Linked DNA regions of Saccharomyces cerevisiae S288C. The gene in region 3 interacts genetically with the main gene of each other region. Each region holds a gene or a part of one and is shown on either strand. Other genes may lie near its edges.

The links.
Region 1: mutations in YGR153W (region 3) and PDR11 together harm fitness more than expected from each alone (negative genetic interaction), as found in Saccharomyces cerevisiae (one large-scale study listed by BioGRID).
Region 2: mutations in YGR153W (region 3) and SDT1 together harm fitness more than expected from each alone (negative genetic interaction), as found in Saccharomyces cerevisiae (one large-scale study listed by BioGRID).
Region 4: mutations in YGR153W (region 3) and YLL054C together harm fitness more than expected from each alone (negative genetic interaction), as found in Saccharomyces cerevisiae (one large-scale study listed by BioGRID).

What each region holds. Positions count from the first base shown.
Region 1 is NC_001141.2:325,964-336,170, forward strand, and holds PDR11 (ATP-binding cassette multidrug transporter PDR11), read right to left. Parts: upstream 6,480-10,207; coding exon 2,244-6,479; downstream 1-2,243. Other genes in the region: alpha-1,3-mannosyltransferase MNT3, read left to right, coding at 140-2,032; YIL012W (uncharacterized protein), read left to right, coding at 7,048-7,389; TIR3 (Tir3p), read left to right, coding at 7,764-8,573; thioredoxin peroxidase DOT5, read left to right, coding at 8,919-9,566. UniProt on the Saccharomyces cerevisiae protein: Transporter involved in the uptake of sterol.
Region 2 is NC_001139.9:75,389-82,078, forward strand, and holds SDT1 (nucleotidase), read right to left. Parts: upstream 3,470-6,690; coding exon 2,627-3,469; downstream 1-2,626. Other genes in the region: VRG4 (GDP-mannose transporter), read left to right, coding at 1,506-2,519; Golgi transport complex subunit COG1, read right to left, coding at 3,724-4,977; EDC1 (Edc1p), read right to left, coding at 5,271-5,798; NIF3 (uncharacterized protein), read right to left, coding at 6,038-6,690. UniProt on the Saccharomyces cerevisiae protein: Could be an enzyme that inactivates 6-azauracil by modifying it.
Region 3 is NC_001139.9:792,904-799,394, reverse strand, and holds YGR153W (uncharacterized protein), read right to left. Parts: upstream 3,304-6,491; coding exon 2,650-3,303; downstream 1-2,649. Other genes in the region: cystathionine beta-synthase CYS4, read right to left, coding at 1-852; GTO1 (omega-class glutathione transferase), read left to right, coding at 1,527-2,597; Ras family GTPase RSR1, read left to right, coding at 3,903-4,721; CCM1 (Ccm1p), read left to right, coding at 6,342-6,491.
Region 4 is NC_001144.5:30,878-39,569, forward strand, and holds YLL054C (uncharacterized protein), read right to left. Parts: upstream 4,328-8,692; coding exon 1,796-4,327; downstream 1-1,795. Other genes in the region: YCT1 (Yct1p), read left to right, coding at 1-827; YLL053C (uncharacterized protein), read right to left, coding at 4,626-5,084; AQY2 (Aqy2p), read right to left, coding at 5,035-5,484; FRE6 (putative ferric-chelate reductase), read right to left, coding at 6,456-8,594. UniProt on the Saccharomyces cerevisiae protein: Required for growth on non-fermentable carbon sources.

The DNA.
Region 1 (10,207 bases), on a different chromosome or scaffold from region 3:
CTCTTTAATTTGGTATCATTGTTTGTCTTAGTACTTAAATTGTGCCTCTGGAACTGATCAAATTCCTTTCTCCATCACATGAGTACGAGGAGGGGTGTTAAGGAATTAAAGACAGTCTACTAAAACTATTTCCCTAAGCATGCTTAAATCATTAAAATCCAGAAGACTAATCTTAAAACGATTAGTAACACTGCTGCTCTCTTTATTCTTTTCTTATCTCATTTTCTCTGCCAGTCGGAATGTTACATCATCCAATAAATTAAACAACCATGCAAGCGAGAGGACAGCTGTTGAATCATCTGCATTCAATTGGATTGAAAAACGACAACACCAAGTGAGATCCGAAAACTTAATGAACAGATTATCTGCCTACTTTTTGCCCTTTTTGAGTAGAAGTTCTCACAAAGAACGTGTATTGTTGAGGCAATTAGGAAATAATGAAATAGCGAAGAGTGACAAGTGCCGTTACATTTTTGAAGTACTATACAAGATTGATCCCGACTGGGACAATGCGCAAACTGCAAAATTTTATAATGTTGATGGTGTAGATAACACGTTGGCCTCATTGTTAGGGGAAAGATTAAGATCTTATGATTATTGCTTTTTATCTGGTCAATTAGATCCTACTGCAATATTTGCAAATTCAACCGTAAATCCTCATGATTTGCAAAACAGAATGTTTCCATTTCTGAAGAAAATTAACGAGGAATCCAAAACTGTAATGTGGCCTATTATCACAGACATGACAACTGGAGAGGCAGTTCCGGCACCCGAGGTTGATATGGAATCATCAAACTTTAATGGTAACTTTTGGTCCAACTGGAATAGGTTGAGCAAAGGAAGAGGTTTTGTTTTAACTATTGCTGAAAAGGATGTTCCTTTATTTTTGAAACAGTTGAAAGTGATGGAATTTTCAAAAAACGAATTACCATTCCAAATAGTATCCACGGGAAATGAACTATCAGCAGAGTCTATTGCTAAAATTTCTGAGACCGCTAAAGAAACGGAACAAAGGGTCTACTTAGTAGACTGCTCGACAGTGCTTGACACTAATTTTGCTAATACATACATTTCTTTTTTTCAGAATAAATGGGTCGCCACTTTGTTCAACACATTTGAAGAATACATTTTGTTGGATGCAGACGTAGTACCGTTTGTAGGGTCTGATTACTTTTTCGACTCTCCTTCTTACAGGGAGAGCGGGATACTTTTGTTCAAGGATAGGGTTATGGAAAACGAGCAAACTTTCCAATACTGCATCGAAATGTTAAATGAAGTGGAACCCTCTGCACAAGAACGCAGATTTATTGGAAGTAGGTTAGTTTTTGATTCGTCATTACCGTTTTCTTCCGAAACCTCAGAAGAAGCATCTGTGTATTACAATTTTTTCAAAAAATTACGACTCCATCATGTTGATAGTGGTTTGGTTGTAGTCAATAAACTTGAGAAATTAAATGGATTGTTGATGTCTTTTATGTTAAATTTGGATGGAAAATTGCAGAGGTGTGTGTATGGTGACAAGGAAATATTCTGGTTGGGGCAATTATATGCTGGCCAGGATTATTCTATCAATCCCGTTGATGGCAGTATTATTGGACCTGTTAATGAAGAGCCTGAAAATGATGACGGACATAAAAGCGGGATGTACTACATTTGTTCTACGCAGATTGCACACAGTGACTCCAAAAATCGATTACTATGGGTAAACGGTGGACTGAAGACTTGTAAAATTTCGAACAGTGCTGAAGATGACTTTGGAAGAGAGCCAGAGTATTTTAAGAGTAGATATGGGGACATTTCAAAATTAAAAAGGATATATGATGCTTCGTTGAACGTAGAGGGACTAATCGTTCCTGACGTTTCTGTTCATCCATGGATGCAAATCAAGGAATGTTCTAATTATATGTATTGTGCATATGCTACGGGTGACGGACACACAAACTCTGAACTTGACGAAGGTCGTCTAATCACGTTTACTGAAAAGGAATTACGATATATCAATGATATTTCTCGAACCTGGAATGCTAATTGAGAAAAAAAAAAGTGAAAAGGAAATGAGAGTATTAATATTTATTAAGTATGGAGCATATATAATCCGAAAAATGATTATAGATTAATTTAGAATATGATTTGGGAATAAATTAACAATTAGTTTAAAGCAGAAGGCAGCCGGATGAGGAACAAGAACTGTTGAATAGTATTAGGTAATTTTGAATGTTTTCTAACGGAACGCTATTCACTGATTATACGCTTTGTTCGTTTGGATTATGAGATGTTTTGGACCGCCTCATTGATGGGATACACTTCTTTATACCATCAATCACAGAAGGCCAAATTTTTTTGATGTAGGTTAGGTAGAAGCCCACAAACATGGCGGCAATGTTAAAGCAAACGAAAACCCATTCAAAACCAAAATTTCTCCATCTGTGATGATAACTCATATTTTCTTGAGCAAGGAAGTCATCCCCAACAGTGTACATGCAGTAGGCGCAGACGGTGTATGTGTTATTGATGTGCAGTTTCCCACCAAATTCATCAATAAAGGGTTTCATAAACTGACCGCAGGTTTGACCCATTACAGGTTGGCTTGGTACCATTTCACTTGTCGAGCAGTTTACTTCTCTGTCATGGAGAAGTAAGCTTACGAAAGTTTCAATGAAATACGTGTATGGTGAAACCCTGTACATGAATGTCCAAAATCTTGGGAATAACGAGTATGGTTGCATAACGCCACAGAATGAAGCTGTGAAACTATAGAGGAAGGCAACAAAGACAGCGGCAGTTTGTAAATCGGGGGCAGAATATAGAAGCCACAACCCAAATGACAAATAATACATGGAAAATAAAATATAATTCAAGTAAAAGACACCAGCTACACGGGCAGAGGTTTCGAAACCGCAACAGAAGTAGCAACACAGGAAAAATAAGGTAGAACTGGAAATGGCTAATGGTAATTCAACAATAGTTTGAGCAATCAAAAGAACGGTCCAATGATAAGTATTAGATCTCGCTTCCCTGGCGATATATACTTCTTTAGATTGCAAAGCCTTATCTTGAACCTGATTGATCAAAGGGGAGGAAACACAAAGCATCATGAAGCACAAGAAAATAGCATCTTGCAGACCGTTGATATTATGCTTTGTCCTCCAAAATGAAAATCCAATGAATAGTCCAGCGCCAGCATTCAAAGCATATTTAGCGAAAACATAGGTCATGTCTCTCTTGGTACAAATGTACTGTCTCTTTGTGATTAACTTTATTTGTTCCATATACGAAGGCGGACTCCATACGGACGTAGTGAAATCAACACCAGATTTCCGGGCTTCTTCTTCTAATAAAAGCAAATCATCAGCAACCCGCACTTTTTCTGGAGAGGATTGCCAGAGTTCTGCCCAGTTAATTGAATCAGATTGCTTATGGTAAGATACTGGCTCATCAATTTTGCTTGAGGTTGGCTTCTCTGCATCATCCATTGGAATATTTGTACTTCCGCTACCAACAACGTCAATAACGAAATCAGCCGGATTATCCATTTCTCTGTCAAATGTTAGGCGTCTATCGTGAGCTACAAAATAGTCACAGGCATTAGGTAATGAACCAAAATAGACACACTCACCACCTCTTTTTAGTAAATAGATGTTATCAAAATAGCTGATGACACTTTTGCTAGGCTGATGAATAGTACATAAGATAGCCTGACCTTGCATCGAAAGCTTTTTCAGAAATTGCACGATGGTTAAAGCTGCTTCGGCGTCTAGCCCTGAAGTAGGTTCATCTAGGAATAACAACAGAGAAGGCTTAGTGACCAATTCAACACCAATAGATAATAATTTTCTTTGAGTTGGAGATAAATCAGCAACCAGTTTTTCCGAAGGCAATCTTAATAGGTTGCTAACAACTCCTAAATAGTCTCTATCCCCATCACCTCTTAGGACGCAGGAAATTTCCAAAGACTCTCTCACAGTTAAGAGCTCTAAATGAACATCTTGCTGTTGAACGAACCCTATACTTCTTCTGAATGCATCAATATTCGTTAAGGGCTGTCCATCGATTAATAATTCACCGGTAACAACCCCGCTTTCGGTCCTTTGAGACAAGACATTCAACAAAGTTGTCTTACCAGCACCAGATTCACCCATTAGGGCAGTTAATCCGGAACTTATATATCCAGAAGCGTCGTTGATCAATTTTTTGTCTCCAATGGTATAATTGATATTTTTCCAGGAGATGACGTGCTTTTGCGTTTCCATAGCTACGGATTCCTTAGTATGATTGTTAACAGTTTCATCTGGATGTTTAATATTGTAATCAGTATCGTATTGATGCGAGACTGATGGAACAGAAGAGGATGAAGTGGAAAAATTGGCTATCGGGGTCTTGGGAGTACATACGCCATCGTTGTTGGTAATAGCGCTTTTATTATTCTTTTTTTGGCTATTCAGAAAGGGACAGTATCTTTTGAGATAGTTATTCCAGCGCAATAAATTTTCTCTAGTAAACAGAGGCGTGATATATTCCGCTGCTAGTAAAGAGCAAAATAGGAAGAAACACAGAAACCCAATGATAATACCGAAATTTCTCCACACGTGATGGTAAGTGTATTTCAATCCACTTTTTAAATAATCACGGCCTCTGACGTAATCGTTACCTAGGGTAGCGCCTTGCCAGGCACAAGCTTTATGACTGAATGAAATATTGTCATAATATTCACCTCTGGGAATAATACTTTCATGACAGTCTAGTTTCAGGTTAAACAATTCGTTACTCAAAATGGCTTCCATGGCAAACATAGCAGGATTCAAATATGCAATCCATATGAACCATGGATGCATATCTTTCATATAAATAACATAGGACGCGTACATGGCAATGGCTAACAGTAAGATACCGGCCAATAGGTTTGCCATTGATAGAGTTGGAGCGATCAAAGCAGTTAATGCAAATAGTGACACCATGCAAAAATTATAGACGGAAAGGAAAAGCAAAAAGATGAAAAACCTAGCTGCATTGTACTGTAAATGGGCCAAAAAGTAAAGTATGATTGTAAAAATAACCACCAGTATAAATTTAGAGCAGCAATCGAAAAAATTTGTTGCTAAAGTTTCCACCCAATTATAATAAAAATGGAGCTGGACATGTTTACGAACGACGGGTTGCCTTTGAAAGGAAGCAGGCATGTCGGCGAGAGAAAGAAATGTAAAGAATAGGATGGAAAAGAAAGTTAAAGATCCTCTAGAAAACGAACCAATTGTTGTCAGGGGAATGTTATAAAAAAGGGACCCAATAACCAAAGACTGCACCACAACAGAAACAAATTGAGAAATCAAGTAGTTTCTGTCACCAATGATTCTTTCGAAAGCTCTTACAGTGCACGTTTTCAGTTGCGTCTTTAGCGGAATACTAAAAATGGGGGAGATATCATCCGGATTAACATCTTTTCTGGTGCATTCTTGCACTGTTTTTGAAGTGATGGCCTTCCAGTGTTTATAGTATGGAGACTGAATCCATAATGTATGCAAATCTGTTTCATTATTGATGTTTAAAGCTTGATTTTCTTCAGAAACAACAGATGGAGTGTCAAGACCAACAATGGAATTAGACGTTTCCTTGAACTTAAAATTTAAGATTGATGTTAAATATTCAATAATACAATCGTTAGGGTTTTTTTTTATCTGTAAGGTGTCATGAAAATGGGTTAAACACTCCTCCATGGTTCCGTAAAACACCTGGAAGGAATCACCTAACATAAGAATCTTGTCAAACTTGCTGACAATTTTGTCGCTTGCTTGAGAAATTTTAACAAAATTCACCGATCTTGTAGCTTTTGCCATCTTTTGGGTAATGGAAAGAAATTCTAGGGCGGTGGCAGAGTCCAAACCCTTCGTCGAGTTGTCCCATAAGTAAACAGACCCATTGGCAATAAACGTTTCTATAATGGAGATACGTTTCCTTTCACCTCCAGAAACACCACGAACGTAGTCATTACCCACATACGTCTTCTTTACGTGCGACAGTCCGAACTCTTTTAATAACTCGTCTCTCATTTCAATACGCTCTTGCTTGGGAATGTGAAACTTACAACTCAACGCAAAATCAATGGTTTGCTCCACCGTCAGATACGGGAAGTGAATATCTTGTTCGTTATTATAAATGATCTGATGGGGGCATTTGGAAGCAAACTGTTTGTACTCATTGTCTTTGAATCTAATAGACCCTTCAGGCGAGTATTTCAGATGCTTGTGACCATGGAATAGACCTTTGAAGAGCGCTGATGTTGGGTTTCCCAGTACTAAGACGACTTCACCTTCATTAGCACGAAAAGTGATATCACTAATTTCTAAATGGCCTACGTTTTTGAATTCCGATGCGGACTCTTCATCGTTCTGAACAGCACCGAGGGATTCTTCCAATTGAACGGTAGCCCCATCAAAGGTGACTGAAGCGTCAGGAATTGGATTAAAATATTTGGAAAGAGACATCCGCGAGGCGTTGCTTCTCTAATTTTACTCTATCGTGTTTAGTTGTGAATTTTTTTGCTACAGTATGCAAGTTCTTTTTACCAACCCGTTTACGAACTAATGAGAAAAGGGTTTAAGTGTGTGATAATACTATTAATAGCTAAAAGAGCAGAGAGCTTTACGATGTTGTATGTTGTTTTATATAGGTGAGAGCAGGATCTGCGGAAAATACTTCGTACCGTAGTATCCATTTTGCCTATGGAGGAAAGCTTGTTTCCAAACCAGGAGATCCGCAGACAGGAAAAGTTCGAGGCCAAACAAAAACCGCAGCACAATGGAGTAAAAGTCGAAGGCACGGGCCCCAAACGATAGAGTGGAAGTTGTAGGAAACAAAAGTGGCCGTCTATGTGGCGCTTCTCTGCGGTGAATTCTGTGCGAAGTGCCTAAACGAAAACGGACGGAGAAGGCTGCGGGGGGATATCCCTTGCATAAAGGATGCCCGGCACTGTCCTAGACGGTGCCTTCCCTTAGAGACTAGGAGAGACTTGAGTAGGAGAAACTGAGCAGGAAAATTCGAGAGATAAAGTACATGTGCCTAGGTAAGCTGTACTTCGAACAGCTAATATTAGTAAGATGCATAAAGGGGCGTCAAAGTGGAAATATAACGACAGGAGAATCTCGGTGTGTAAGTTGGAATGTGTATTGCACCACTTCCATGATTGGGCTTTTTTCCTGGCGCAAAATGTTGCTTTTTCAACATTTTTCTTATACGCAGAGAGAGAATCGTCAGATAGGTGGTAAAACTTGGAGCCTAATTAGCTCATTATTTCATTTGAACGAGACATTGGCTTCTGCCCTACATCACCCATACGAGACATTGGCCTTATACGAGGCGTACTTCGCCTTGCGGGAAAAAAAATTTCTTTTGTAAGCGAGGTTACTCAGAAACTGTGACTGAAGGCAGAGGTTGGAAACGTGTGTAGACTCCAAATGGAACGATAGGAACGTGTACCCTACCGCTTCTGCACACGTTTCTTAGATATGCGTGCCTTAAGGCGACCCATTGTTCCTGTTTACCATGATTTCTGTAGGCTTTTTTTTAGAAGGCCCTAGAATGGATTGCAGATTTCCGTCTGAGAAGGCAGTATACGTACATATGAATATATATATACATATATTCTTTGGTGGAGAGTATAAGCGTTTCGTCTCCTCTTCCTTTCTCTACTGCAGATTTTCTTGCTGGTTGTTTGATTTTTTCTTTTTAGTGTTCCCCAGATCCAATTGTTCAACCGCCCACACACAACAATGTCTTTCACTAAAATCGCTGCCTTATTAGCTGTTGCCGCTGCCTCCACTCAATTGGTTTCTGCTGAAGTTGGACAATATGAAATCGTCGAATTTGACGCTATTTTGGCTGATGTCAAGGCCAATTTGGAACAATATATGTCCTTGGCAATGAATAATCCAGACTTTACCCTACCATCTGGTGTTTTGGATGTTTACCAACATATGACCACTGCTACTGATGATTCCTACACCAGTTATTTCACCGAAATGGACTTTGCTCAAATCACCACTGCCATGGTTCAAGTGCCTTGGTACTCTTCTAGACTGGAACCTGAAATCATCGCTGCTTTACAAAGCGCGGGTATCAGTATTACCTCCTTAGGTCAAACCGTTTCCGAATCTGGTTCCGAATCTGCCACTGCTTCCTCAGACGCTTCTTCTGCTTCTGAATCCTCTTCAGCTGCTTCTTCTTCTGCTTCTGAATCCTCTTCAGCTGCCTCCTCTTCTGCTTCTGAATCCTCTTCAGCTGCTTCTTCCTCTGCTTCAGAATCTTCTTCTGCTGCCTCCTCTTCTGCTTCTGAAGCTGCTAAGTCTTCTAGCTCTGCCAAGTCTTCTGGCTCTTCTGCTGCTTCATCTGCTGCTTCATCTGCTTCTTCCAAGGCCTCTTCTGCAGCTTCCTCTTCTGCAAAGGCCTCCTCTTCTGCAGAAAAATCTACTAATAGCTCCTCCTCTGCTACCTCCAAGAACGCTGGTGCAGCTATGGACATGGGCTTCTTCTCCGCTGGTGTTGGTGCCGCTATTGCCGGTGCCGCTGCTATGCTCTTATGATTGTCACTTATTAATGATAAATTATAAAATGTTATATGTAAAAAAACAAATATACACTTTTTGAATATTAGTATCCTATTTTAATATACTGTCTCCTAGATAATACAAACTTAATTTGCTTTCTCTTCACACTTTTTTCTTTACTCTTGTAATGTACACTTGGCTGTACATTAAAAAAAGGAATGTTCGAGCAAGAGCATGAAATCCACAGACGGCTGTGCCATGTAGCAGCCGTCGAGAAAAAAAAGATATAGAAAAGGGAAGAGAAATATCATTGTTATTACATCCACTGGATGAAGTAATACTACGAGCTTTATACAGGTAATATTAAAGTTCCTTAATAGAATGGGTGAAGCACTACGTAGATCAACCAGGATTGCAATATCCAAAAGAATGTTGGAAGAGGAAGAGTCCAAACTGGCCCCTATTTCGACACCGGAAGTGCCTAAGAAGAAAATCAAGACGGGTCCTAAACATAACGCTAATCAAGCAGTAGTTCAAGAGGCAAATAGGTCATCTGATGTTAACGAATTAGAGATAGGCGATCCTATTCCTGATTTGAGTCTTTTAAATGAAGATAATGACTCTATCTCCTTGAAGAAAATCACCGAAAATAACAGAGTTGTGGTGTTTTTTGTGTATCCCAGGGCAAGCACGCCTGGTTGTACTAGACAGGCCTGTGGATTTCGTGACAATTACCAGGAACTCAAGAAATATGCTGCTGTCTTTGGACTGAGTGCAGATTCTGTGACATCCCAGAAAAAGTTTCAGAGTAAACAAAATTTGCCATATCATTTACTAAGCGATCCAAAGAGAGAGTTTATTGGGTTGCTAGGAGCCAAAAAAACGCCACTTTCTGGTTCTATTAGATCGCATTTCATTTTTGTTGATGGGAAGTTAAAATTCAAAAGAGTTAAGATATCACCAGAAGTTAGTGTAAATGACGCCAAAAAGGAGGTTTTAGAAGTCGCTGAAAAGTTTAAAGAAGAATGAAGTTTAATAACCCCCTTTTTGTTTCTCTAGAGGAGTACTTATCGGTAAAATATTCCAAACCCTTCCCTTTATATATGTAGATAAACGAAGATATTCTAACTCTCTCACACTTATAAAATATCGAGCCTGCAGAAGGTCATAAATATTTATATACAAATGGGAAAGTACTTAACGATCCGACTTGATCAATATCAAATATCGTGGCCTGGTTTACATTGAGAACGGGCACTATTTCTTTGGACGAAATGTTGCTTAGGCAAATTTTGAAGTGAGACATTGCTCGAGAATTTGTTACGTAGACTAAGTCAGCATCGCCAATGATCATTAAGCAATTGGTCGTCTCAGATGTGATCCTGCAATTATGAGTCCTTTCAAAATTAGATACACACTCTTGGGAAAACTCAACTAAGTATTTGGTGTGAGGAATCTCTTATCGATGCGTATACCTTGTAGTCGCAAACGTTATAAAATTTTGTAATTTTGGCGAAATGGCACGGATTGGTTAAAATTGTCGGGCTCATATGCGGTAGCGCTAAGTCCTGCTTGGTCAAGCTAGGAATTACATGGCCAGAGGGATGATATTGATCATGCTCCGAGTTGTCTTCAATTAATGCCTTTATCCATGGTTGTAGAAAAACTGA
Region 2 (6,690 bases), 720 kb from region 3:
GCTGGGGAAAGTGGAGAAGCTAACTTAACGATTGAGGCCTTGGCAAACCCTGTTAAACCAGTACTATCGGCCTTAACATGCGACTTAGAGAGAGAGAGAGAGAGAGATGTTTGCGTTTGCGTCATGATAGAGATGCTACATCCACATAGTTGTTGTAGACATGTTTAAAGGTACAATTCTGCAACAACGCCTTGAAATTTTCCAAAACTAACCAAGCACATTGGAGTTACGCTTATATAGTAAGCCACTTCACTTGCGTTGCTGTAAAGGTTGATAACTACAGGTAGGAATTAATGAATGTTAAATAAAAAAGGGAAATACCATCATCTCGACAAGAAAGGCAAAATAACTTTTCAATCTCACCAAGACGCGCGAACGAAACTCGTGCGTCTATATTAGTATCTTGACGGCGCTTTTACATCATTAAAGGTGTAATAAAACTGAAGTCATGCGATGGCACTGAAATAATCAAAGTAACTATTTGTGATGGCATGCACTGTGATATGATCTCAAGGAAAAAAATGCAATGTCGGGCGCCAATACTTATGATCATGCTTAGTCTCGACATTGACCTTGCTTGCTACAGTAATCTGGTGTCCGAGTAGTGACATCTAGGTACCGGTGAGAACTATATCTTCATTACTACACTTGTCGCCCCTGAATATTATCGCTACACACGCGAAAGAGCTCTTGTTAAAGTTACTCTCGCATCATTGCGGTACATGTTTTGCATATTCATCTGAAGTAGGAAAGGGTATAAGCAGTATATGATGTACCATCTGCATAAGCGGTGTTTAATGCGTACCTATCGTTTAAGAACAAAAGGAACACACCCACACCCGCTCCAATACCATATTGAGAGAATAATGAGGTAACATATGCTTCTATTTGGTTCGATAAGACGGCTACTAGTCCAAAAAAAGTCAAACAACAATTTCAACAGCTACATTCTGAAGATAGAACGCATTTTTGCCTGAATATTGCAACTCAATAGACATTCTAAAGTGCTACGAGAAAAAAGCTTGTAATGGACCATGGCAATGTGCGCCATATATATATGCGGCTCCCTTATGAGTAGAAGAAAATATATGACTGGTGGTACAAAGTGGCATGGTGGTATATAGATGTAGGAACACCATTTGAGTTTGCCATAATGATTAAATTTCCCTTTTTATAAAGAATTAGCCGCCCATAACACGAAAAATATCACAGTTGACGAAAGAAGACACGTCGCCTAAACGCGTAATGAATCGCAATATACGAAAAGCTAAACGGGTTTTTCAGAATCCTCTTACCCAGCCTTGGATAATAGTTTTGGCCGAAAAAAAAAAAAAGAAAGAAAAAAATTGAAATTTCGCGATCCGAACAAACAATGAACAGAAAAACAGAATATATATAACGCTGCCAAGCCTATTTCTTGTTGCCGATTAATTGTTGACATCCTCTTAATTACCAAAAGAGCCTAAGAAAACAAACACACTAACCACACAGTATCTTTCGCCCGAATGTCTGAATTGAAAACAGGTCATGCAGGCCATAACCCTTGGGCTTCAGTTGCCAATTCCGGTCCGATCTCTATTTTATCCTACTGTGGTTCCTCTATTTTAATGACGGTGACTAACAAGTTCGTCGTCAATTTGAAGGATTTCAACATGAACTTTGTCATGCTTTTCGTGCAATCTTTGGTTTGTACTATAACCTTGATTATCCTACGTATACTGGGCTATGCGAAGTTCCGTTCATTAAACAAAACAGACGCCAAGAACTGGTTCCCTATTTCCTTTTTACTGGTCTTGATGATCTACACCTCTTCGAAGGCTTTACAATACTTGGCTGTTCCAATTTACACCATTTTCAAGAATTTGACTATTATCTTGATTGCTTATGGTGAGGTTCTCTTTTTTGGTGGCTCTGTCACCTCCATGGAATTGTCATCATTTTTGTTGATGGTCCTTTCTTCTGTCGTTGCAACTTGGGGTGACCAGCAAGCTGTGGCTGCCAAGGCTGCTTCATTGGCTGAAGGAGCAGCCGGTGCTGTTGCCTCCTTTAACCCAGGTTATTTCTGGATGTTCACCAACTGTATCACTTCTGCATTATTCGTTCTTATAATGAGAAAGAGAATTAAGTTAACTAACTTCAAGGATTTCGACACTATGTTTTACAACAATGTTTTGGCTCTACCTATTCTATTGCTGTTTTCTTTCTGTGTGGAAGATTGGTCTTCAGTTAATTTGACCAATAACTTTTCTAACGATTCGCTAACTGCTATGATCATCAGTGGTGTTGCATCCGTCGGTATTTCTTACTGTTCCGGTTGGTGTGTTCGTGTTACTTCGTCTACTACATATTCGATGGTAGGGGCTTTGAACAAGCTGCCAATTGCCTTGTCTGGTTTGATTTTCTTTGATGCTCCAAGAAACTTCTTATCTATTCTCTCCATTTTTATTGGTTTCCTATCAGGTATTATTTATGCTGTTGCCAAACAAAAGAAGCAACAAGCCCAACCTTTACGTAAATGAGAACTTACGGGGGGTGCAATTTATTTTTTTTTTTTGGTTTATTTTATTTTATAGAGGCATCTAATGCAAGTAGATTTATATACAATTATACTTAAAATTGATATACCTTAGAACAGGTCGGACACAACGTGTGGTAACTCCAATATATCACTAATGACAATAGCGCCTTCTGGTGTTTGCCCCAAAATTTCATTTACTTCATTCTCAACTAAATGAATACATGTTTTCATGCCCAATTTGATACCTGTCTCGATGTTTTTCCCACTGTCATCTATAAAATAAGCATTCTCGTATCTTGCCAACCCGCTTTCCTTCATGGCTTTTTCAAATGCTTTAACATGTGGTTTGCAGACCAGCGTATCTGTCCTAGAGTAGTCACAATATGTCAATCCATCAAATAAATCCGCTATACCCAACAATCTCAGGCAACGTATTGCGTGGTTTTTATAAGCGTTGGTGAAAAGCCACAATTTATCAATCTTTCCCGATTGTCTCAATCTCAACAGCATATTCCTTAATGGTATATCAGGTTTCAAGATATCTTGTAGTGGTAAGGAATCATCCACAAGCCGGTTATATTCCAGTGCGTTCACTTTGTGGAACATTACAAGTCCCCTTATGGCAAGTCCATACTCTTTGTAGTAAGAGTTATTCAAAACGTGAGCATCTTCAGGTGATAGTTTCAAGTGTGTTTGAAAGAACCTCAGTATAGATTGTTGCATAAGATCGTGAATTCTCGTGGATGATTTATAGAGACAGTTGTCGATATCAAAAAAGAAAACTTTTAAGTTCGGGTTTTGAGGTGTAGCAGAAATATCTTGATCGATCGGAAATGTCACTTTCGAACCTGGATGAGTCAATGATTCAAGATGTGCTTTATTCTTGGCAATTTGTTCGTTCACCTCATTCTGATAGGTTGCCAAATCGGATGCAGTATATTCAACAGTCATGAAGCCTAGTAATGATTCGGTCCAAGAGCTTACTCATGTATTCCGAAATTAATTCAGGTGAAATGGGGGAGTAATATGATATCAAGAAGGCGATCACTTATTGAAGTCCACATAGATACACACAGATAAACATATATATATTATGTATATATATATATATATATATATATATATATATATGTATATATCAACGCCCATACCATTATCATTATCAATAAGTTTGCGAGGCGGGTACCCTCCCTCGTGCTATTATATTACTGTTGCCTTAATTGAGTAATTTGATCGATGACTAATTGCAAGAGATTGTGATTGTTGTACGAAGTTATAAAATCATCCACAACACTCGTTGAGTTTTCCAGTGGTGAAGGTAAGCGGGATGAGATCTGAGTCTTAAACTCTTGCAATTGAGTAATCAATTTATTTCTCAAATCTGTCAGTGTCTCTTGAGGGCATTTATACAATTCTAAGTTTTGTAGGATTTCAATCGTAGGCTGCACCGTTTGATAAATTTGCAACGTGGTATCATTGGTTAAACCTTTTGAATAGAATACCGCTGTATCAATATATTGTTTCAATGCATCATCATCAAGTGGAGATACAGTGCCATCATTGAGGTTCGTATCATTATCATGGAAGATATCTAATTTATGAAGAGTTTCAGGCTCCTTAAGCTTGGCTCTCAAAGTAGAGAGTGTATCCAAATGTGTGTTTATTTCTTTCACGGTTCTCCGAATGAGATGGTCTCTAAAGGTGGACGAATTCACAAAATCGACAACAATCGCGTCCTTATATTGCTGATTGGAGTGATATTGATGATCTTTGCTGTTGGCACTTGATATCAGTAACGCTTGAACGTTATCGTTAAATAGTGTCTCGAATAGGGATTCATTGAATATAGAAAGTAAATCATCGTCCCACTTCGAGGAAAACTCCGTGTTTAGTAAATTGTATAGTTTTACCCACTGTAGTAAAGTTAAGTTTAATGTCTTCATAGAGTCCACCAAGAACTTCTGTAGTCGACAACATTTGTCCTTGACAAGCGCTTCAAATTTGGAAGGAACTGGTATCAAAGATAATTCGTGGAAATTCAACAGTAGCTCGTCGAATATCCGCGACGGAGTAGTGGAAGTAACTATACGATTACAGAAGTTGTTGATGGAGATGGTCCAATTTGAAATTACTAAAATGTTTTGCGATGGTATGCTGACTTTTTCTTCGTCACGAGGTGGTGATATATGGGTAGTGGTTTGGTATGGTAGTGGAGTTAACTTATTCAACTGAAATTTTTCATCATTGAAACACAGGGATTTAAAATCTTGATCAACATTTTTCAAATTGAGCGACAAGTCATTAACAGAATCGGTCAAGCTTAAGATCTTGTTATAGTTCTTTAGCAAATTCTTTTGGAAGGCCTCATTGGTTTTAGTCAAATCGTTCTGTAACTCCAATTGATAATCTTTAATCTGTGGAATATGAGAATCGCGAAACAATGGTAAGACTTCATCCATTTTCTATCGTATTGGTTTTTTTTAGGTTTTCTACCACAAGATTTGTTGTACGAATGTGTTATTTATTATTCACCGCCATGTTTCATTTTTCTTCAGCATAATGATGAACTGTAACAGAAAATAGGAAAAAAAAATTGTCATCTGAGAAATTGCTTTGGATGACCAGATCCAAAACAGACATAAGCATTCGTATAATTGGTACATAGGTATATATCAAATAAAAATATGCATTATTCTAAAAAAAAAAAAAAAAAAAAAAAAAAAAAAATCAAAAATGTCTCTCTAAAGGGTGATTATAAAAAACTTGGTTTGGGCAAGTTTTTAGCCTCCCTTGGACCATTAGTGGCGAAAGTGGAGCCTGCATAAGAGTGACTGAGTTTTTTGGCACTGCCATTACAACCCATTGGTATTATCCCTTGAGAGCCATGCGGGGATTGTTTCTGGTTCAGAAGCAGATTCTTTAGGTTCTGACTCAGTAAACGAGTATCATCTTTGTTGTTCTGTCGTGGCGTTTCTTTATTATTCTGTCTGTTTTTTTTACCTAAAGTAGTTGTAGAGGAAGGGGAAGAAGGTGGAGAGTGCTTCTTTTGATTAAATGATGGTTTCTTGTTGGAAGAATGGCCGAAGTTAGGTTTCTGACCGTTAGGAAGAGTTTGAGGAGGTGGTATATCTGTGATATAGTTGTTATTATTGGCGTTCTTAGCAGCATTTCCCCTCGCACGATTATTTCTAGTTTTTTGTTTGATTAGATTATTTGTCTTGTTCCTGCCAGCCGATGGCAACAGCCTGGAGCTGTTGAAATACATGGTATCCGTCGACATGCCTTGTAATATTTGTGTGAGTATATTTGTGTGCTAAGTGTAATTACGTTACGCTTTGCTGAGTACTTCGTCTTCAATACAGAGTATGTTATTGTCCTTGTTATTTGAAGACTTTTACCTTTTCTATCCGTATTTCTCTATCCGATACAACAACATCATTTTACACGAACAGCCGGATGATAAAACTGTAGTACGTATGGTATTTGTGATATCCTATATAGCCATATAATTACTAGCAGCTATGCAACAGTCAAAGGATCGCAATCCATTTTGCTTACGACTACTTCGTGGCCCTCATCTTGCAACAAGCCCTTCATAACGTCTTGAAGGAATCCACGCTCAGTATTTGAGTGGTTGCAAACAATAACGGTCTTGCCCATTTCTTTCCACTTCAGTACTTCATGATGTGACATTTCTCCCGTATAGTAAAGGTCTACGTCCTCTTTTAGTTGCTTAAACACGCCAGAACCGCTCCCGGCACAGACAGCGACTTTTTTGATTTTGAGTTGATTCCATGCGGATGGAGCAGCAAGAGATGCTACTTGTACATAGGGAACCCGTAAAACACGCTTGACATTTTTGACAATTTGCTCCAAAGAGATGTCTTTATTGAATTCTACGAATCTACCGTAGCCAATCAAGTCGTCAGTTTCGCCACTTACAGTTTCCAAGGCATAAGACTTTGCGACGTTCTCTCCGTTGTTCAAACCCCTAACCAACCAGTCATTTACACCGCCACGAGCGGCATCTACGGCAGTGTGAGGGCAGTATACGGATATTCCGTACTGGATTAGCTTTATAGCTGTCTCGTGTTGTGGGTTTGTATGTGGGCTTAATCTGTTCCAGCTTGGGAAAATAAAAGGATGGTAAGCAACAATTACGTTGCAGTTAG
Region 3 (6,491 bases):
GACACCTTCGTTAGAAATCAATTGTCTGGCGTATTTGAAAGAAGGCTTGTCGTCTGTCTTATACCAAACATCAATTAATTTTCTGTCCAAAACCTGAGGAACAAAATCATAACCAATACCCTCAACTTTGTAGTCAGTGATATCAGTCTTATTCAAGTTTTCAGGTTGGGCTAAAATTGAACCGAATGGGTCAGCACCAACGATTTGGATCTTATCATTCTGTTCTTTCAAGTACTTGGAAATACCGCTAATAGTCCCACCAGTACCAGCACCAGCAACAACAGCGCGTAGATTATCAAATAAATTCAAGTCTTCTAGCTGTCTTTGGATTTCGCGACCAGTACCAAAGTAATGAGCTTCTGGGTTCATCATATTGTTATATTGGTCAAGTATAACAGCACCAGGAATCTCTTTTTCCAACTTCTTAGCAACACCAATATGTGATTCTGGAGAATCCCAGGCAGCAGCAGTTGGAGTTCTGATGATTTCAGCACCCAGAGCCTTTAGGACAGAAACTTTCTCGTTAGACATTTTTTCCGGCAAGGTGATGATAGTTCTGTAACCTTTGATGGCGCCGATTAAAGCTAGACCGATACCGGTGTTACCAGAAGTAGGTTCGATCAGAGTAGATCTGGAAGGATGAATTCTACCGGAAGCTTCAGCTTCTTCCACCATAGACTTGGCAATTCTGTCTTTGATGGAACCACCTGGATTGTATAGTTCCAGCTTAGCATAAATTTGTGGTTTGATACCCAAAGCCTTAGGCAATTTTTTCAGTGCGATCAATGGGGTGTTACCAACTAAGTCGATAACGTTATGTCTTGAATCGGCTTGCTGCTCAGATTTAGTCATTTTTATTCTTACGTCGTATTTATCTAGATGTCCTTTGAGCAAGTGGCCTACAACGAAATCTTCAAGTGTTGCCTTTTACTTTGGCATAGAAGCATCACGACATTTATATATACAAGCCTGGTGAAGTGCCTTGCGTTTACTTTAACCTTTAGGAGAAAAAAATTTTCGGTGTTGGTTTCTTTTTTTCCTTTCGGTGCAAAACTGTGGAGGAAGATGGCAATAAATTAGTGAAACGGTAATGCCGTGTGGACTGCATATGCCGGATATAGCATTTATCAGTCACGACAGAGCTGATTATCCTTACTTGGGTGAAGTTGAAGTTGTTGTGATAAGGTTAGAATGCAAATGAAGCTTTGTCAGCGCTGAGAAAGAAAATTTTGTTTTGTGAGCCACTACTATCACGTGCCATTACCATTTTAATCAGTTATGAAATAGGGGAATGTGTCATTGAGGGAAAATGTAATGGCCACCAAATGAATCAGAGGGTCGGATGAGAACACACCCTTACTAACTGCTGTTCATATCTCACAGTTGCCATTGATAAGCTCTGGTGGGAAAATACCCTTGATTTTTGGTAGCACATATTGACATAACAAAAGTCTTGACTTTGCCAATTGGAGAGATGGCCACTTATAGAGGAAAATACTCGTAAAAATAATCATAAACAGTAAGCCATGTCAGTATCTTACAAGGGAACAATTTCTAAGACACATTCTGTTTTTAAACCAGAAAAAGGAAGGTATTATATTTACGGGGCCCTTGGGTGTCCATTCACTCATAGAGCCATTCTTGCCAGGTCTTTGAAGAAATTAGAACCTGTTCTAGGGCTTGTGTTATCTCACTGGCAATTAGACTCCAAGGGTGCCCGTTTCTTACCTGCTCCACACCGGCCGGAAAAATATAAAGAGAGATTCTTTACTGCCACTGGTGGCATTGCTTCAGCTAAATTAGACGAATCTGAGGAGTTAGGTGATGTGAACAATGACTCTGCAAGGTTGTTCGTGGATGGCGCTTTCGACCCGGTGGAAAATATATCAAGGTTAAGCGAGTTGTACTACTTAAATGATCCTAAGTACCCCGGTACAAAGTTCACTGTGCCTGTTCTGTGGGATTCTAAAACAAGGAAAATTGTTAACAATGAGAGTGGCGATATCATAAGAATTTTGAACAGTGGCGTGTTTGATGAATTTATCCAAAGCGAAGAAACGAACGTGATTGATCTAGTTCCGCATGATTTAATAGACGAGATTGATAAGAACATCAAATGGGTTCATCCGAAGATTAATCTTGGTGTCTATAAAGTCGGATTAGCAGAAAACGGAAAGATTTACGAAACTGAAGTAAAAACACTGTTTGAAAACTTGCAGAAGATGGAATGTGTACTAAAAGAAAATTATAAGCGCTTAGAGGAGCAATTCAGTGGTAACAAACAGAAAATCTTGGCTAAATATTTTGTTTTAGGACAGAGGTTAACTGAAGCGGATATCAGATTGTATCCATCAATAATTAGATTTGACGTCGTGTACGTGCAGCACTTCAAATGCAATTTGAAAACTATAAGGGATGGTTTCCCGTACCTTCATTTGTGGTTGATTAATCTATACTGGAATTACGCAGAGTTTAGATTTACTACAGATTTTAATCATATTAAGCTCTTTTACATCAGGATGGAAGTAAGTAGGAACAAGATCAATCAGTTTGGTATAGTGCCATTAGGCCCAAAGCCTGACATTTCTAGATTATGAAAACTTCTAATATTTTCTTACACACACATATATTTATATGCATGGCTATACTTCAAAAGAGGTTGTCACTTCCATTTCCATGTAGGTAAAACTCGTGTATAGACGGAACACAGACTTCCCTAGTTTTATTGACTTCATAGTCTCTGCACCATTCAATTATGTCTCTGTAAAAGAGACTCTTCTTTATATCGCCCTTTTCTATATTCTCCATCTCCAGTTCTTTGAAGCATTTTGCTTTTCTCGATTTATGACAACCACACGGTTTTACACTCTCCTCTCCATGTTCTACCATTTCATGCCTCCAGTCAAAAAATGGTTGACTGTATTCCCTACTTGAATCCATACTTGATTCAACAAGGTAGTTTCTCGAATTCTCAGGTAGTACTGCCACCCTCCTTAAACGTTTCTCTCTTTGTCTTGCTTCCTTTCTTTGTTCTATTTTTGGCGGAATGGTAAATTTCACAGGATTCTTGGATCCATTCTCATTTTCATTCAAGGCATTTAAGTCCAAGGAAAATAACCGTATGCTCACGTTGGACCCTTCAAACGTGAAACTATCTTCACTCAATATACTTCCTACACCGCATTGTTCCTCGTTACTACTTGAATCCTGTATATCTGAGAGAGAGGTAAAAAATGAGTAGGTATCTCTTTCCCCCTCACATTCGTAAGTGCCGACTTCTTTATTCAAACAGGCCTTTCCCATTTCTCAAAGACCTCTTTTCGTAACCTATTTAGTAATGATGAAAAGTATTAAACAGTATTTTCAAGATAAGAATTTTATTATTTTGTACCATTTACGATACACATAAACCCCAGAAAAAAACAACTTTATGGGAAAAGGCGAATAGTACTCATAATATACAAGGTAAAAGCAGGCGTATCTCAGTCATACAGTTCAATAGAGAAAGGCATTTTTGGAATATCATACATTTTATCTAGCAAGTGGAAACAGACTGTATATTCCCAAGAATCATCGCCTTTTTATCACAACGTCAGCCTCACAACTAATTCGCGTCAAAGCGCATTCATCCTCGACATTCTCAAACGCGAAATATCGTCGAAAAAGGTTAAAAAGAAAAGAGAGAAGGACAGAAAAAGAAAAAAGTAAAGTAGAGCTCGATCTCGAAAAAAAGAACCATTGCGTTCGTTCTTAACTACGCCAAGAAGTTTTTGAAATTTCATCCTCTCCACTGAACAATAATACTATTATTTAGTAACGATATAGAACATTTACATACAACGTTCTAATATTTTGGCTTCTATCATCGCTTAGAAATATTTGGCTAGGAAACATTAGGACTAATGAGAGACTATAAATTAGTAGTATTGGGTGCTGGTGGTGTCGGTAAATCCTGCTTAACCGTGCAGTTTGTACAGGGAGTTTATTTGGATACGTATGATCCAACGATCGAAGATTCTTACAGGAAAACCATCGAGATCGATAACAAGGTATTCGACCTGGAAATTTTAGATACAGCGGGTATAGCACAATTTACTGCAATGAGAGAATTATACATAAAGTCAGGAATGGGGTTCCTGTTGGTATATTCAGTAACAGATCGGCAATCTTTGGAAGAATTAATGGAGCTAAGAGAACAGGTCCTTAGGATCAAAGATTCCGATCGCGTTCCAATGGTTCTAATAGGTAACAAGGCTGATCTAATCAATGAAAGGGTAATAAGTGTGGAAGAAGGTATAGAGGTAAGCAGTAAATGGGGTAGAGTTCCCTTTTATGAAACAAGCGCTTTGTTGAGGAGCAATGTGGATGAAGTGTTCGTTGATTTAGTTAGGCAAATCATTCGGAATGAAATGGAAAGTGTTGCAGTTAAAGACGCAAGAAATCAAAGTCAACAATTTAGCAAAATCGAGTCTCCATCAACCAGGCTCCCTAGTTCTGCGAAACAGGATACGAAACAATCAAACAATAAGCAATCATCAAAAGGTTTATATAACAAATCTTCACAAGGACAAGCTAAAGTTAAACAATCTACTCCGGTTAATGAAAAGCACAAACCGTCACATGCCGTTCCGAAATCTGGTTCTAGCAACAGGACAGGAATTAGCGCTACTTCACAACAAAAGAAAAAGAAGAAAAACGCTTCCACTTGCACTATTCTATAGTCACTTAATTTTATTATAAATGAATCAAGATATCAGATAAAAAGACTTTACTTGAAATAGTTTTATTATAGTTCTAAAAGGTTTAGTTTAAAGTATTAGCATACGTTGTATAAGTTTTTAAAGAAATCAATTAATAATGTTTGAAAATAAATTTAAACCCAAAAAAAATGAAATGTTAAAAATATGGACGCAACCGGAATCGAACCGATGACCTCTTCCTTGCAAGGGAAGCGCGCTACCAACTGCGCCATGTGCCCGCAATCTATGGGATTTTACGGTAGATGCTGCGTTACGTATAAAAAATATTAAATGAACAGATCCACACTCTCGTAACTAAAGCTCACACTGTAGTTTCTTATAGTTTATGTTGATTGATATAATTAATTCAGAGGGTCTTTAGTCTCAGATATACTTCGCAATTACTTAAAAGAGTAATCGTTAATGTTTTCCCTCCAACATAGTCGTTATCGTTTAGCGTGCGTTATCAAGTTTCAACGATGACAAAATGATTGATTAATTAGTCCATTTTTCTTTCCTATCTAGTAAAATCAAAGTGTTTCTTCTCAACCTGAGATCTAACTCACTGTATTGATATTGAAAATCTGAGTAGTCTTCTAAAAAGCACAGAAATTAGGCCGATGTTTTCGACTTCATATCTCGTCGTGAGGCTGTTTCGCACGCCTTTTATTTGTTTAGATCGGACATTTAGGGTGATTCATATCAGGTCATATTGCGGCATCTCATCTCAAGAATAAAATAGAATTACTGTGTTTGACAATGGTCTATCGTCCACTGATGGAACAAAAGTCGGGAGCAATTCTTGTAAATGGAAGAATACAAAATGGCCACCAGTAGCGGTGAAAATGGTTTAGTAGTCATCCCTCCTTTAATACGAAACATTCAGTGGGTCTCCGTGAACGTCTCTATTCTATTTTCGATAATCGATCCACTGACTCTCAGGCGCTTCTTATATTATCTTTCTCGATATTATAAATCAGCCGATACAGGGTTACACCAAGTGTCTTTACATAATCCTGACTATCATGACCTACTTCCAATCTTATCATCTAAATGACTGTACATTCGTTCTTCTCTCATAATGCTTGCTTGCTTGTGAAAAATGGGTGAATAATTGCATTATTGTTGGGATTCCACTGTTGATAAAGATCACATATAACATTATGGATAAGGAATATACTAGAAACTCTCCTCCAGAACATAGCGCCCACAAAAGGGAATCGATATCTCTACATAATGCTATTATTTTTTCTTCCTTGTCGCACATTATCTTACTTCATCATCAATCCTCGTGTCTCTGCTTACATTAAGTTTGATGACCGTTTCTCAATCTTTATGACATCTTCTTACACAGTGTATTGCAAAGTACTAGTAATATGAATTCAAATCGATCGATGGTAACTGATTCTTATTGCAAAAGATCTGCCTTGCTCTAACCTTTTTTCTGAGATAGAGAGTTAGCTCTACTTCCACACCAATATCTGAGCGTCGGACAGGATTGTGAAAAATTGGAGGCATAAAATGTAAAAGCAAAGCCATAGTCCATAGTGCACAGGAAAATAGCATTGTTTCACAAGTCCTAACAGATAGATAAATATAAACATGTACATGGCCAGATGTGGCCCCAAGAATAATGTGCTGTGTTTCCCATTTCAACTTTCCTTTCTATTTTCAAAACGACTAATAAATAAGCGTTTCAAGTATACCCTACAAACTGAAGATGAAAAGAATATGATGGGGAGTTTAAGTAAA
Region 4 (8,692 bases), on a different chromosome or scaffold from region 3:
TTATCAGGAGAGTTCAGGCATCCACAGGCTCTTCCATTGAACAAAAAGTCTTCAAAAAGAGTCAATTCAGAGAGGCAATGAAAGATTATATAACCTGGTTATTTGGATTGTTTTTTCTTCTTCAACAGTTAGCCAACAATCTGCCCTATCAACAGAACCTGCTATTTGAAGGAATGGGTGGAGTTGATGCTCTAGGTTCGACATTGGTATCAGTTGCCGGTGCTGGTTTCGCCGTCGTTTGTGCCTTCATCGCTACGTTGATGTTAGCAAAATGGAAAAATATTTCAGCTTTAACAGCCATCTTTTGGACTTTACCAGCATTGGTGGGATCCATCGCTGCAGCTGCTTTACCATGGGACAATAAGATTGGTATCTTAGCAAATATCTGTATGGCAGGACAAATATTTGGTATTCCTTTTATTATAGCTCTTAGCTGGGCAAGTTCAAGTGCATCTGGGTACACCAAAAAACTCACAAGAAGTTCGGTGTCCTTATTTGCGATGGGAATTGCTAATATCATATCACCACAAATATGGAGAGAGAAGGACTCTCCTCGCTTTTTACCTGCCTGGATTGTTCAAATCGTTTTATCATTCTCTCTTGCACCAGCCATTTTGTTACTGATCCATTTCATACTAAAAAGAAGGAATAATCAAAGACTAAAAAATTATGACGAAAATTTACAAAATTATTTGGACAGAATTCAACTCATTGAAAGCGAAAATCCTTCTTCCATTGAAGAAGGGAAAGTGGTAACCCACGAGAACAATTTGGCAGTCTTTGATTTGACTGATTTAGAAAACGAAACTTTTATATATCCTTTGTAAATATTGATGTTTTGTTGTGTAAATGTTCTATCTGACACTTAATAATTAGAAAATTAATTTTTTAAACTTTCCGGCTGCAAGAAAGAGGAACTGTGTCTCTTTGAAAGGCACAATTTCCCAAAGAATCATTTACAATGGTAAATAGCTTACTGCTTAGAAAATAATAGATAATTGAATAAATTTATAGAGGAATTTCTTGACAATTTCTTCAAAACAGCCGGTAAAAGTCCATTAAAGATTAGTTTTTCTTAAATAAATCACCTAAACTTTCAAATTTAGCATAAAAAACATGTAGATATTTGTTCTCTGTACTTTATAATCTAACATTTTATAAGACAGAGACTAGTAACCCCTCTAGCCTGTGGTTAAAATACGCAAAACCTTTGAACCCTCAATATTTTTGCCATAATAATGACAACTATATTGTACCCATTTGTTCTTGAGTTGTCCGTATGGATGGAAAGCAGCACTCGAGTTTGCTGAAATTACATACCTCGGTATGCAATATGCCCAGAAAATTTGTAAATGATAATTTACATAACAATTCAAAACATATTGATGTTTTTCGTGGGTAACCATAGTTCTTGGAATGTCAACTGAGGGTATTTGCACTTCAAAAAAAAAAATTTATTAAATGAGACTATATACAGTGAGCACAACCTGTCTAATACAACGGCAAAAATTATATACATTGGTAGATTTTCAAAATTGAACTCTTTGTGCTAAAGAATTGTCACAACAGTTTAAAAAATAGTTTGAATTCTTCAAATTGACCCCATATTAATAAGACCTGATGCGATTCCGGTCTCACCCAGATTAGAGAGGGAATTTAATTTTCTTAGGACCGTAGCTACCAAAAATCTTTGTGTGGTATTGATTATATGATCGTGCTTGCGAAAAAAATAGAAGACTAAAAGTAGCATTAGTTTACTAACTTTCTCCTCGTATCTTTCAAATTTGTATTCCCCTCAAAAGTTACTCAGGTTAGGGAAAATTCCAAGTAGCTTATCAAGATCAATTGCCATTAGTTGATTCAAGGCTTCATTGTCATAATTCATGAGGTCAATTTCACTCTGTAAAGATTCGTCAACATCTTCAGTGAAGTTTCTGGAAAATTCTTGTGCGGAAATGAGTTTTTCTAATTCTTCCAAAATCTCCAAATCAAGACTTCCCAAGAATTGTGGATTGTTTAATTTTGATGTGAACGAAAAGGACTTATCCCTTCCCATACCCCATTTTAAACCGACAATCCTATGGATTCTTGAATATCTTTCATCCATAACGGCGTCACTCTTCCAGTAGTCGGATATAAACGCAGACAGCGCGTCAGTATCCACCAAATAAATGATATACCTGAAAATAGAGACAGAAATGAACGAACCGAGATAACTCTTTTCCAGTTTCGAGATAACAATTTCTACAAGTAATTTCATATGATATGACATCAACTTGATCATTTTTTCAATGACTCGACTAAGTCTTCCGTTTCTATCATTCAACATTCCCATGGCTGCAGAGGATCTGTCGCATGTATCCTTCTTATAAAATAATCTCACGAGCAAGGTGGCCTGGAATATGAGTAATCGATGTATCGAAAAGCGAACAACTTTCTGAGTGGCAAACCCAAAAGGTTCCCGTAAATGCAGAAGAGATCCATTAAAGTATTCCGAGATTAATTTTAGCAACGTTAAATAATCTTGTATAGCGGTAAAAGTAAAGCGGTGATAATATGTTTTGTACTCCAAAGCGTTTTTGAAACATTGATTTTCAAAATGCAAAGATAAGCTATCATAGATGTTCATTGTACAAGTGTAGCTAATCACATTAGCTATGAATGTTTCATTTTCCTCAAAAGTGCTAAAGTCAAAAGATTCTTCATTTGCTAAGGAAGAGGGAACATTGATATGTAAGCTCTTCATCCTTGGTTCTCCAAGAGAACTTAAAATGAGAGGGAATTTCTGATTTAAAAAATCTTTTGTCTTGTCGATGTTATCCAATACTTCCTTCAAGTAGGAAGGGCCATTTATTGGAAAACAAGAAGTCAGTAATACCTGTAAAGATAAATGTAAATGATAGATATTCTCTGCTGTAGCCATCAACGATAAGTCTAGATTATTAGTAGAAGCGTAATTTCTCTCAAATAGTTCTGGTAGAGATTCGTCAGTTTTCATAAAGGATCTTAAATATTCCAAACTTAGAATGTCAGAATCTCCTTCTGGAATCAATATTCCAAACTTCAAAAATTGCACGCCAAGCCATAATTTCCTTCTTAAATTGAATAATCTTGGATAATCGTCCGATTCGCTGACGTATCGAGTGTATTGGAAGGGTTCTTCATTCAGTCCTAGCTTTATTGCTACATTCTCCAAAAATTTTAGGTTTAGTATGTCACTGTGAGTAGGATACATGTCAGCTTGATCTGGATTCAAATACCGCAATATGAAAAAATAGAGCAGACAACAAAGTGTATGTTCATTAACATATTGAAAAACGTTCATGAGAGCAAGAAGTTTATGAGCGAGTAGCGTTAAATTATTCGATTTTACACCAAAAGATTCTTTAAATGAATGACTAGTACTTAGACTCAAACGTCTGTAAGAAAAAGCCAATATGATAGTTAGCAGTGTTATTGTCTCCAGTTTTCTTCTAGAGTCTTTGCCCGCAAATACAATGTTATACCCATTAAATTCATTCAATTGCAACAGCTCCCTTATGTTATCTTCGAATAATGATATTTCCAGTAACGGATAGACCGGATATATTGTTTTGTAAAAGTCCACGATTAAGCCATCAACCTCATTCTTATTGAGGAAATATTTGGATAACTCTTCCAAAAGGATGTTTATGGAAATTTTATCATTATTTTCTTCAGGATGCGCTTGTTCATAATCATACGTGTTATACAGAAAATCTATTGGAGGATACAATTTGCTTGTTTTTGAGGTATTTTCAATAAATTTAAGTGCAGCTTTATCAATAAAAAACAAAGGTCCAATATCACCGATTGTTAAGTTAAGTTCTCTTTTTTTATTGTTGGCAGAAACGTTTTCACGATGGCGTTCGACATCAATCAGTATCCTCTCATGTATGCAGGTGGTCAAGGCCTTCGCATACAAATCATGTTGAAGAATGCTATGGAAGGCAAAAGGACTATCAACGATGGTTGTGTTATTCATTACAACAAGCTTGTCGTGTGCATTCGATAAATTCATGGCAAAATTTTTCATTTCCCAGTCTTTAGTACTTGGATTAAGTATGGAAGTAAAGGAACCACTTGCGGACATCGATGCAGGAGTAATGTTTCTAATGTCTCTATGTGGGGCATTTTCGATAGTGGGAGATTTGTTAATCCGTCCTGGTTCCACTTCGTAGCTACAAATCGAGGATGAGGCCTTGCATTTGGAGCAAGTAGGCCAAAGTTTATCACATTTGATTTTCCTTTGCTTACACCGCAAGCAAACAAACGATGGCTTAACCTTTTTCTGAGATGCAATGCTCATATCCAGTGCAGTACACTTATCTTGTCATAGATTTCTGATGGGTAAATAATTACTTCACATCATCTTTGTTTCCAAAGTTTGGCCTCAATGTTGCCTTTAGGAGGAAAAAATGTGAAGAATGCATACTTCTGCCGCTTACGTAAAAACAGAACTCTGACCAGAAGAGATAAAAACAAAAAAAAAATAAAGGACAGTAAATATGAAAAATAAGATATTATTATATTAAATTAAATTAAATTAAATTAAACTACGATGGGAGCGTTATGCCAAAAAAGATAAAATTCTGAGCAGACTACTCTCAGTCTTCCTTCTTTTGACCTGCCGCCTTTTCGGCATTAACGTATGTAGTGTAATCAAGGATTTGTAATAATTGCCACACTGACCAGGCTAAGAAGGCACCCAAAAGTGGGCTAATCCAGTAGATCCAGTGGTAATGAGGGAAATATCTGGCAGCAACGGCGGCACCCAGAGATCTTGCAGGGTTGACACCGGTACCAGTGTAACCGGTCAAAGCCATGTGAGCCATGAATAAAGAAATACCAATTGGAAGCGCAGCCATAAAGTTAGTTTCACGTTTTTCAACAGCAGTCATCAAAACTGTTAAACACAACACAGCAGTACCAAACATTTCCAAAAACAACCCCCTAGATCTGGAACAGCCTAAACCCAAAGCATTAGTAAAGAGAACCTTGCCTGGAGTCATAGCACTAGCGGCACCACCAGCAGCCATCCCAGCAATGATCTGAGGAAACCACATCACTACACATCTGGCTGGTGAGATGGCTCTGGCCAAACACAAAGAGAGAGAAACGGCTGGGTTCAAAGCCCCACCAGAAACACCAGATAGAAAACATCACAGAGAAACCGAAACCAAGGGCAATCATGATCAATTGACCTGGATGAGAGCCCTCAGGCTCGGTTGTCAAAGCCACATCATGGTTAGCGACATTACAAATGACGTAAGCACACCATAAAAACATGAAGGTACCGCAAAACTCACCCACAGCAGCGATAAAGTGGTTTCTTAAGGTATCTCTGTCAATATTAAAACGCGAATGCTTCGTTTCCGGCTGTTCAGGTGGAATATAAGCATTGTCAACACCGGTCGGGTCCAAGTGCGAAATGTTTTTTTCAAGGTCGTTAGATTCGTTAGACATAGTATAACTAAGGTAGGCTAGTGTCGCTTTTGAATATTTTCAGGAATTGTAATAGCCAGGAACAAGAAAAAAGACATGCGCACACTAATAAGCTACTAAAACCAACATATTTATACTATCAACCGAGAGAGGGGCAGATATGATTCACGATAAAAAGTTAATAAAAGGATAACAGCGGCGCTCTAATTCGTTAATGAAAGCCATAGTCCGGTATGGACAAAAACTATTTCCTTCTTTTTTTTTTTTAGGTTTTTTTTTAATTTGCACTTGCAATAATCTAATTCACTGTAGGAGTTTAAAGAAAAACATCTAGAAGGATTGGAGGAGGTAAGTCATTATTATGGCGGTGCTCTTTTAGCGGGAAAAAAAAAAATACACCTACGACGTTAAAACAGATCGTGCTGTCGTCTCAGCGGCAGTAAAAGTACTGTAGTAGTTACGGTGCACGCAGATGCAATGCTAATTAAATAATCATGCTCCCATTTTTAAGAAGCAGAAAAAGGCCGCAGTAATTTGAGCCGTGAAAAGATTTCGGAGGGTTGATTCTTAACATTTTCCAAAAAAATGTCCTTTGGTCTGTTTGCTTGGGTCTGAAAAGAAGGACTGCAGCGCCACCTCCACTGGTTAAGGACAAAATCCATACTTATTCCATCTTTCTCGGGACATATTTTCCTGAGACAAAAGACCGTAGAACTTCAAAGACTCGTTCCCAGAAAGGGATTTAGAGTTAATTTTTGCTCGGCATCAAGCCGGAAAAATTCAGGCGCCGCTTAGTAATTAATTGCAAGTAAAGAAGTACCGGATTTATTAGACATCGTCTTAGCAAGCAAATTCCTGAAAGCTAAAACGCAAATAATTAACTAAAAATAGTTGCTAAAGAGCACCTTTTATGCGGTACATAAAAGTTTTTAGTGCCGTAGATATATGTAGATATAGGTGGGCGTAGGATCAGAAGGAGCCGGAGAGAAGATTTACCAACACTGATATTCCTCGAAATACTCTATAATTCTCTCTGGGTAACCGAGGAGTTTTTGAGAAACGGTGTTTCTAACATCGTCCACCAGAACAGGAGGGCCGCAGCACACGACCGCTAATGAATCTCCAGGCGGCGTACTTTTTATTGCGTTTTCAATTACATTGCTAAAATTAGGTCTTGCATTGCCGATGTGGGCGAAGCTTGTCAGTTCGGTCATTATATCATCAAAATGTATTAATTGGTCTCGTGCGTTTGCTGCCTTTGTAACAGCTGTTTTCTGTGTAAGGTAAACCTGCACGTTGACGTGGGATCGGCTATTTTTTAGCTCTAGTATCTCGGATTTATAGCCGTTAAGAAAAGAAGGATTTTTGATCGCCATGATCAAATCTATACTCTTGGGTTTATCAGGGTTTCGTGACAGCTTAATGGCATGATCTAATGGACCAGGCAAGCCTGTTCCTCCACTTAGTAACAGCAAATGGTCGAATTTATCGAGGTGAAGATTACTGGGCCCATAAGGTCCCTCAATGGCCACTCGGAGTTGTAATTTACCATTTAAAGATTGCAAAATATGGTTATAAATGAATCTAGTGAGACCACTTTTAGGTTTGATCACTAAAACACACTTCTCACCTTCGTCGATAATGGTAAATGGATGGCATTGCCAAAATACCAATGGATGTAAAAAATAAATGAAACAATATTGACCCGGTTTCGAATGCCATCTCCGGTTATATTTGGGTATGATTACTTTAAACATTTCATCGTGCGGGTTGTTGCTGGTGTTCAAATTGATTAGTGTTGCTTTCGGAAATCTAAACTGCAAAATGTTCCATATTCTGAAAAGCTTTTCCAGCCCCCAAATGAGCAAGGATACCACTATCCATTCTTTCCAACCGTTGAAAATTTTGACGTGTTGCCAACAACAGTAAAAGAACAAAAGGGCTAGTATGATGTGGGTGTACAGGAAAAATTCGTAATGTCTTTTCCTTACTATTCCGAGCGATAGAACTAGTAGAACGCAAAGCACTGTTATGGATGCAATACCAAACTTCCAATAGAGCTGTTTGTTGCTTATTTTGAAGGCATGGTTGATAATTGCGAATAATGAATAAGAAAGCGAATGTATCGTTGCGTTTAAGACCATGATTCTACCGATCCATTTATGGAAACTAATAAAGGAATTGAACTTGACTCCTGTTAAAAATTCGAGAAAACTATTCCTTGCCGTAAAAATGATAATGAGAGGGAACTGAGTAAACGCCAGTATCCCAGATCTATCAGCCAACAGTCTTGTAAACTGCGACAGGTGACTGTTGAAAATGAGGTTATATGGGTCTATGATGTAACTTATGGACAAAAATATGATGTTCGCCAATGTGTATCCAAAAATGATCCATGCCTCCAAGGAATTCGGCATCAGTCCCGTAAAGACTTCCACGTTTAGAAACTTGAAGTGATTAGCGTGCTTATCTACTAAAAACGTAGGCAACACAAAATGGCCCCGAATATAATTGACGAACCGGCTTGCAAATAGCGCTCGATTCAGGCCGTTATAGTGACTCATATGGAAGAAGACGGCGATAATACCCACTATGACGAAGTAGTAAGTTAAATATGCACCATAAACACTGCTGATATCTAAATTATAGGCATGCGCATGAAAAGCTCGTATCCATCTAGATCTTGTCTCACGATCGACTCGAATGGATGTCGATAAACTTTCAATAGAACCATAGTCTTCCAAAGCGTGAGAAGAAGCATTATTTAAAGATGAGTAGTATTGCTCCAGTGAAATATTGCTAAACTTTTTATCGACAAACGAGCACGTTTTTCGTACGTTACCCAAGCTTTCTTCGAAACTTGTGTTGTCCATGGGAATAATCTGGTCTGTAAGCGAATTGAAGATACAAAGTGACCAAGTATCAAACGCTGGTGAATAAGAGCATATGGTAGAATAGAAACCCGGTACGACGGAGCTATCAAATGACCACTTCAGAGTATTTATATAGGATGCGCATGCCAGCACAGCGTTGGATTCCAAATGGTCTTTTTTTTCAGTGTGTGGTAATTTTATATTAAAAGCCTTTGTTAAAGATATCAGCCACGTTAAAAACAGAAGCGTTCTATGCATATTCAACGAGCTATGGTCGTCATGCTTCACTTTAGAAGATTATAGAAAAATCATTGCTGCCTGGTTCGATGACCTTGTATCTTTTCTTGATCTACATG